Linked DNA regions of Saccharomyces cerevisiae S288C. The protein of the gene in region 1 binds, or shares a complex with, the protein of each later gene. Each region holds a gene or a part of one and is shown on either strand. Other genes may lie near its edges. The genes, in order: ASF1 and RAD53. A codon is read from its position in the direction of its gene.

What was found.
Region 2: the proteins of ASF1 (region 1) and RAD53 are in contact, whole or in part, in a crystal structure (PDB 2YGV), measured with the Saccharomyces cerevisiae proteins. Residues at the interface, in NP_012420.1 of Saccharomyces cerevisiae: Phe28 (codon at 1,434), Asp37 (codon at 1,407), Glu39 (codon at 1,401), Asp58 (codon at 1,344), Ser59 (codon at 1,341), Ile60 (codon at 1,338), Leu61 (codon at 1,335), Val62 (codon at 1,332), Gly63 (codon at 1,329), Pro64 (codon at 1,326), Val65 (codon at 1,323), Pro66 (codon at 1,320), Val67 (codon at 1,317), Val69 (codon at 1,311), Asn70 (codon at 1,308), Lys71 (codon at 1,305), Phe72 (codon at 1,302), Val73 (codon at 1,299), Ser75 (codon at 1,293), Asp77 (codon at 1,287); in NP_015172.1 of Saccharomyces cerevisiae: Val803 (codon at 650), Lys804 (codon at 647), Arg805 (codon at 644), Ala806 (codon at 641), Lys807 (codon at 638), Leu808 (codon at 635), Asp809 (codon at 632), Gln810 (codon at 629), Thr811 (codon at 626), Glu816 (codon at 611).

The regions. Positions count from the first base shown.
Region 1 is NC_001142.9:194,192-197,801, reverse strand, and holds ASF1 (nucleosome assembly factor ASF1), read right to left. Parts: upstream 1,516-3,610; coding exon 676-1,515; downstream 1-675. Other genes in the region: SUN family protein NCA3, read left to right, coding at 2,929-3,610. UniProt on the Saccharomyces cerevisiae protein: Histone chaperone that facilitates histone deposition and histone exchange and removal during nucleosome assembly and disassembly. Facilitates histone deposition through both replication-dependent and replication-independent chromatin assembly pathways.
Region 2 is NC_001148.4:261,137-266,092, forward strand, and holds RAD53 (serine/threonine/tyrosine protein kinase RAD53), read right to left. Parts: upstream 3,057-4,956; coding exon 591-3,056; downstream 1-590. Other genes in the region: YPL152W-A (uncharacterized protein), read left to right, coding at 3,466-3,564; peptidylprolyl isomerase RRD2, read left to right, coding at 3,892-4,956. UniProt on the Saccharomyces cerevisiae protein: Controls S-phase checkpoint as well as G1 and G2 DNA damage checkpoints. Phosphorylates proteins on serine, threonine, and tyrosine. Prevents entry into anaphase and mitotic exit after DNA damage via regulation of the Polo kinase CDC5.

The DNA.
Region 1 (3,610 bases):
CAATATAATAGTGATTCCGGTAGTTACTATACATTGATGTGACGACTCATATTCCTCATATATGTACCTACCATAACATGTTCAACTAATAGGTCTTTAACACAGCTTCAGTATTGTCTGAGCTTCTCGTTTAACATTCCTTCTGCAATAGGCGCAATCACACTTAAACGTATACGAGTTGTACATTAATATACGATGTAAGCATTAGATTGTTACCATAGCAACTCATGTCACTATTAATTACTCTCGTTCCAACATGATAATATAACTATTAGTTGATAGACGATAGTGGATTTTTATTCCAACATGTTCGTTCTGTTATGAAGTTGTTTCATATGTGTTTTATGAACTTTTAGGATGACGTATTGTCATACTGACGTATCTCACTTTGATAAACAACAATATCAATAATATTAGGGCGTGTGGCGTAGTCGGTAGCGCGCTCCCTTAGCATGGGAGAGGTCTCCGGTTCGATTCCGGACTCGTCCAATTTCTTTTTGTTCTCAACGACAATAATAAGAAAATCAACTTAAATGGAAAATATTACTGCCTTTTATTTTTTACGTAGCTGTTGCCCTAACCCGACTTTATCTTATGTCTGTTATTTTTTTATTTATACATTTTATAAAGTGTACCTCTCTTGCAGGTACCATTAATCTTATAACCCATAAATTCTTAATTCGTTGAACGTGCCGCATCCTTTGGAGTGGATTCAATATCCGTGGACCCCCCTTCTATTTTCCTCCTCTTCTTATCATTACCATCTTCATTCTTGTCTACAGACCCCACCTCTTCTTCTCCTTCTTCCTCATCGCCGTCACTATTTTCTATGTCTTCCTCCTCTTCTTCAAGATTCGTTTCGTTGTCTTCAGTCTTCTCTTCCTCCTCTTCTTCCTCCTCTGCCGCTTCTTCCGCCTCTCCCTCTCCATCTTCTTGATCGTCATCTTCGTCGTCTTCATCATCTTCATCGTCATCTTCTTCTTCATCGTCCTCCTCCTCTTCATCATCTACGCCGGGCTGTTCAGGTGGGTATAAATCCCCTTCATTTTCATTATCCCAAACAATGTTAAACCTTGTTACCCTTGGCTTTTCAGCCAGTATATTTCTTACAATATGATCTACTTGTACCTTTGCTGGCGGATTTTCTCTTAACTCTTCTTCATCGTACTCATTATTCACGTAGTAACCGACCCTAACAAACTCTCTCCCGTCATAAGAACAACTTAATAGAATAACAGTCACACTAACCAATTCACTCGCAGGAATCAGCTCGGCGGAGGGAGGGTCAGCAGAAAACACAAATTTATTAACACCTACGGGAACGGGGCCTACCAGAATGGAATCCAATTCCTGGTCATGGTCTAGAGAACGAGAGGACCCAACATAGGTTAGTTTCCACTCTAAGTCATGTTTTAAAGATTCTAAGCATTCAAAAGTGATTTCAAACTCATATGGATCAGTGAACTTTGCCGGGTTGTTTAAGACTTTGATGCCTAACAGTGAAACAATTGACATCTTTTCTATATCTTATGTTTCAATTGGATGGTAGGGAGAGTACGCTGTTACACTTTCGAGATTCTGTGAGCCTCTTACCTGTTTGGAGTTATTCCAAGTGTTAGTATTAAAATTGCAAGATTCATTTTTCCATCGTCGGTTGTACGCCCATTACATGAAAAAGGGAACAGATTTACGCGTTTAGGATGAGAAAAAAAAAAAAAGGAAAAAACGCGTAAATGAAAAGTTCTTTGTAGAACAGCTCTCTCTTAAACACATAGTAACAGCAAAAGACGCCACCAAGACAATATCCTGAAAATCGAAATTCTCGCCAAGGCATTACCATCCCATGTAAGAACGGAATAAAACAGCATTCGAAGGTTAGGTGTGGCACAAAGCCGATAAGAAAAAGAAAAGTAGTGAGGACAGGCTTAATTGAGCTAATTAAGGCGAAAAAAGGAAAAGAACTCGATAGAAAAACTTATTCATGAAGGAGACGTAAAGTCAGGCAAGGCTGCGGCATCATGTCTACTTGTCATAACTCAATTTGCCTATTTCTTACGGCTTCTCATAAAACGTCCCACACTATTCAGGGGAAGGCTACACGGAAACCCCAATAAAGGAAACGAAGAAGTGACCTTAGCCTTCGTCATCCGCGCCCACTACTCTCTTCCTAGTCGCCCGGTTGTTGAAAGTTTAATTGTGGGTTTTCTTTCACGACACACCTCACTGAAAAAAGAAACGAGCGGAGGAATAGTATGATAAATCTTCAGCATAGATGGGTAACGGGATCCCTCTGTGAGGGCCGATTATGCAGGCCTAGACCCGCACGTGACCACTTCGAGAGCAAGTTGCCTGCGAGTTTCTCTGCCCGAGGAAAAAGAAATGGAGGCAATTTACTTAATATGGTATGAGAGGATCTTTTGACGGCAAATAGATGCGCCATCTCCGAGAAAAAATCTAGACAATAACAGCGACAATTAACCTAAAGAGGATAGAAGATCGAGCAAAAAAATTTTTTTAATATGGGGTCAGTGGCGATATTATACTATAGGAGTTAAAGAGTAAGTTGAGTGTAAGGTGGTAGAATTATGATTGAACTCCGAAACTAAGCGCCGATTATGGGTGGCAAAGCGGACAGCTTTTGATATATAATCGATCGCTCTCGTAGTTGATATCCTCTCTCTTGCTTATCTTTTCCTGTATATAGTATATGTGTACATACAGATACGAATATACCTCAGTTAGTTTGTTTTAACATTAAATATTCAACAGTTGCCAGTAGCAAAAAGAATATATCCATTCATTTCGAGCTTTTTCGTCTCATTACTGATATCCAACTAACAGTCTCCTCATAGACGGTACCTTACTTTCCTTTAATATTATAATACTAGTATAGTCGCACATACTTAACTCGTCTCTCTCTAACACATAATGAAAATTTCCGCAGCTTTAATATTGTCTTCCCTTTCTTCTGTCGCATTTTCTGCCCCTGCACCTGCTCCAGCGGACAGTCACCATGAAGATCATCACAAAGATGAAAAACCAGCGGTTGTCACTGTCACTCAATACATAGATTCCAATGCCGCTACTAGTACTGTAGAATCTGCTGCTACTACCACTACATTGTCCTCATCTGAGAAGGATACCTCTGAACAGAAGCGTGATGGCGGATTCCAAGATGGTACTGTCAAATGTTCGGACTTCCCTTCTGTAAACGGTATAGTTTCCTTGGACTGGCTAGGATTTGGTGGATGGGCCTCTGTCATGGACATGGATGCCAACACTTCGTCCGAATGTAAGGATGGCTACTACTGTTCTTATGCATGTGAACCTGGAATGTCAAAGACTCAATGGCCTTCTGACCAACCAAGCGATGGTAAATCTGTTGGTGGTCTTTACTGTAAAAATGGTTACTTGTACCGTACCAACACTGATACCAGCGATTTATGTTCTACGGATGAAACATCTGCTAAGGCCATTAACAAAAAGTCTGACTCCATTGCTCTATGTAGGACGGATTACCCAGGATCAGAAAACATGGTGATTCCCACAGTGGTTGATGGTGGAGATTCACAACCAATTTCAGTCGTTGATGAAGACACTTATTATCAAT
Region 2 (4,956 bases), on another chromosome or scaffold:
CGCTCAAAAAAGAAGAAGGTGGAATGAATAAATAGCAGCGAATTACCCAAACTTCTTTACTCTGTTCCCTTAACCAGTTGATAAGAGGTTACGAAGTACGGAAGTATGGCTTTTTATATAAATCCTAAAAAGGGCCGCCTCCGCCCCTTAATCCATCGACACCCGCAAATGAAATATAGTACCCGGAAGGCATAAGACGGGTTACAGCCTCTCCATAGATTCAATAACCGCTTTTGGTTATAGAAATAATCAGACCTCAGCAAATACAATTGAGGAGCTCAAGATATTGAAAACGGATTAACAAACTTTTTAAAATTATTTATGAGCTTGTTGTACCACATCAAGCAGGATTATGTTTTTTTCAGAACTTCTTTTTCTGATTCAAAAATTCATTAAGCATAACTAAAACTGAAAATCAAAACTTATTAATATACAAAAATCTATATATTTCAAAATGTAAATCGTATCAAAACGTCACTCTATATGTAATAAAAACCCAAAAAGTTATGAATAGATGAATTCTGAGTATTGGTATCTACCATCTTCTCTCTTAAAAAGGGGCAGCATTTTCTATGGGTATTTGTCCTTGGTTACGAAAATTGCAAATTCTCGGGGCCTTTTGAGGTTTGGTCCAATTTTGCCCTTTTAACCTTCTTACTAGGATCAATTTGTGATTGCGATAAACTTACCGAATGTATTCTCTTCAAAATGTTCCCCGTATTCGCATTAATCGGTGACTCTACCAAGTCGTTTAGTACCGAATTATTGCCGTTATTATTTGTATCGCTAACTGGCGGCTTCTTAGCCGACATTGATGAAGAAGAAGCCGAGGGTTGATTTGCACGTTGAGCTGCCATCATCTGGGTTAACTTTTTCACCAAATCTTTTTCTTCGGCTGTTTGCTTAAGTACTACTCTTTGTTCTTGTAACATACCTAATCCCTCGTTAAACAGACCTGTAGTATCGTTAATTTCCACTTTAAAGCCAATGACAAATTTATTGTTTTTATCCCAAATGATCTTGATTTCATCTCCGTCTTGTAAAAGGAATTTCGTACCCTGTATCATGCGGTTATTATTTAAATAGCTCACGTTAGTTCCGGTGTGGCAATACCAAATATCATCTAAACCTTGTGCCGGAGATTCATACATGCTTTTGCCTACAGCATGCCTCTTTTTGAAAATGAAGCAATGAACTCGAGACAACCTATTGTCTTCAATTTTACAATTGCAATCCTCGGATCTACCAATGAAAAATGGATTCACACCTTGCTGAATCTCCAGGCTTTCTTGAATAATGCTGTCAGGCAATGGTTTTAAAGTTAAAAACCTACCATTACCCTTTTTCTTTGAGCTCTTGACATTCTCAGTATTATTGGAATGTAAAAGTTTTTGTTCTCTAGTTTCTGCTTCAATGCTTTTGGGCTGTGTATATCGAATAGGGGCGTGTGCGGGTATTTTAAATCCTTGAATTTTTCCATCTTGGTCTTCCTGATCCTGTTCTTGAAGTTGTTGCTCCATTTGTAATTTCCTTTGCGCTTTGACAAATTCGTATTGAGCATCGTCCATATTTTCTAATAATTTCTGCTGCGACAACGATTGTGATAAGGATATTTGTGAAAAATCACCATATGATTGTGAGCCCAATGGACTCATCTTGATCCAGGGATGATTCAAGGCTTTTGCAGCTGTCGACCTATTATTTGGATCCACCTGTAACAATGAATCTATGAAATCTCTTGCTTCTTCAGATATCCGGAAATCTTTGAGGGGCCCTTCATGATATGAGCCTCTTCCAATCTGTTTATATAATTGGTCCTGTGTGCTACCACTAAAAGGTAAGTGGCCCGTTAGGATAACATACACAAGACATCCCATTGACCACATATCCACTAACGAAGAGTACTCATTCCTTTCTTCGTATTCATCAGGAGATACGGATGTATCTTTACCTCTGATGACTTCAGGTGCCACATATGCCAAAGTGCCACAGAAGGTTTTCATAAAAGACCCATTTCCTTGTACTTTTGCCAGACCAAAGTCGGTTATCTTTACCAATACAGGATCGTCTTGTTCAATAAGAATATTATCGGGCTTTAGGTCACGATGGCTGATGCCCATAGAGTGAATGTATTTTATTGCTGTGAGTATCTGCCTGGATATCTCCCTCCCAGCATCTTCTCCAACCGCACCATGAGCAGCAACAAAATCCATTAAGTCACCACCAGAAACGAACTCCATCACCATATAATAACTCTCAGTATCTTCATAAAATCCTTTCAATCGTACTATCCTTGGATGATTGAGCTTTTGCAATACTTCTAACTCTCTTGTCACACCATCCATATTGCCTATTACTTTGCGTTTACTTATAATCTTCACCGCGAATGTTTTCCCAGTAGTTCTTTCAATGGCTTTCTTTACTGTGGCAAATGCACCCTGGCCCACCACTTCGTCAATAATCGAAAAATCCTTAAAAATACCAGTCTTGTTGGCCACCATTGATGATGCAGTAGATGATGTAAGACCAGGAGAAGCTATTTTAGAGGTATTTTTCAGGTTAGATCTTATGCGATCAACTTTGTTCTGCTCGAGGCACTGCTTAAATTTGTCGTTTATGAAAATGACCAGAGATAAAATATCTGATTCCACGCCTACACCAACGGTTATTTCATCACCTTGAGACAGTAACTGATTGCTGTTCTTCTCGACTTTTTGCCCATTTAACCAGGTCCCATTAGTGGAAATGTCATTCAATAAAAGGTTACCGTCTTCTCCTAGTAGTATTTGGAAATGCTTATTTGACAGTCTTGAAATGTTTCCTAAATGATAGTCACAGGCTGGGTTTCTACCAAATGTCCAAACTTTCTTTATGGATCGTTTTTCCTTAAGCACTTGTGAAATATCAGCTGACAAATCTCGGATGGGAATTTGACCCGTGGTACAAATGACCCTGCACACAATGTTTTCGCCGATCTGTTCTTGAGAAAACTTCTCAATCAAAAACCTTTGAGTAGCCTGCGTGGATTGCTGTGTGGGTTGTGTAATATTTTCCATTTTTAGTTGATGTTGTGTAACACTATCTTTTCTCACTATTCTCTCTTTTAAAGCTTAAGAAAATCGAATGCATATACAAAATTAGTTTGTCTTCCAATAATCTCTACCGTCCTTTTCTGCTTTCTTACCTTTTCTTGATCAGAGATTTCAAAATGGTAACTTTGGTACCCTTTATCTTCTCAACCTGTACCTTTATTCTATAAATGTTTTCATTTCCAAGTCTACCCACGGTGATGATTTTTCTGCCAATTTTACGCGTCACTCCCGTTGCCGTATCAACGCGTCCACACCACCTCACCCTCGAAATGAAAATAAATATGTTAATAGATGCACGTTTCATTGACATCTGTGACAAACACTTTCCGGCTTAATTAAAAGGAAGCAGGCTATTAATGCACCAACCAAACAAATGATGGTTCACCTCACGCTGAAATCTCATCTAATAAAGGAAGAATTACTTTGGCATGCTTTATCTCCGTCCTATAGTTGCCGATACCACGGTAGATAATACAGTATCATTCTAAAAGTACCATTTAGGTAGGTGCTGAGCGAACCAATAAGTAAGTTTTTGTTTTTTCTCAGTGTTTGCTTTGAATTTACATTGAAATACGTTGTTTTGGACGTACTACAATAGCCGCCATAATAGATTTTCGGGTAACTTTTACACTCTTCCCTCTCTTTCACGTGAGTAAGCACAGAATAAAATCCTAACGGATGTGATAGAACAAAAGGGATATCAATGACAAGAGAGAGGTACTTTATGTTAGTCGCCTGTGCAGAAAGAACAGTCCATAAACAACAATCCGTAAAGAACAATATAAATATTTAGAAAAAGATGTTGCCAGAAAAGAGACTATTGACTCCAGACGATATGAAACTATGGGAAGAATCCCCAACAAGAGCTCATTTCACTAAATTTATTATAGATTTGGCTGAATCTGTCAAAGGACATGAGAATTCCCAGTACAAAGAACCAATATCGGAGTCAATAAACAGTATGATGAACTTGCTTTCGCAAATAAAAGATATCACTCAGAAGCACCCAGTAATAAAGGATGCAGATAGCTCGAGATTTGGTAAGGTTGAGTTTAGGGACTTTTATGACGAAGTTTCACGGAATTCCAGGAAGATCTTACGTTCCGAATTTCCCTCTCTCACAGATGAGCAGTTGGAACAATTATCGATTTATCTAGATGAATCATGGGGAAATAAAAGAAGAATTGATTATGGTTCAGGTCATGAATTAAATTTCATGTGTTTACTTTATGGACTCTATAGTTATGGAATATTCAATCTTTCAAACGATTCAACTAACCTCGTGCTGAAAGTTTTTATAGAATACCTTAAAATAATGAGGATACTAGAAACTAAATATTGGCTTGAGCCTGCGGGCTCTCATGGTGTTTGGGGATTAGATGATTATCATTTCCTTCCATTTCTATTTGGTGCCTTCCAATTAACCACCCACAAGCACTTAAAGCCGATATCAATTCACAATAATGAGCTCGTAGAAATGTTCGCTCATCGGTACTTATATTTTGGTTGTATCGCTTTTATTAATAAGGTCAAGTCATCCGCCTCCTTGAGATGGCATTCTCCTATGCTAGATGACATCAGCGGTGTAAAGACTTGGTCAAAAGTTGCTGAAGGGATGATAAAAATGTATAAAGCCGAAGTCCTTAGTAAATTGCCCATCATGCAACATTTTTACTTTAGCGAGTTTTTGCCTTGTCCGGATGGTGTATCTCCACCAAGAGGCCACATACATGATGGGACTGATAAGGATGATGAGTGCAATTTTGAAGGACATGTTCATACTACTTGGGGAGACTGCTGTGGTATAAAGTTACCGAGCGCTATTGCGGCTACTGAGATGAATAAAAAACATCATAAACCAATA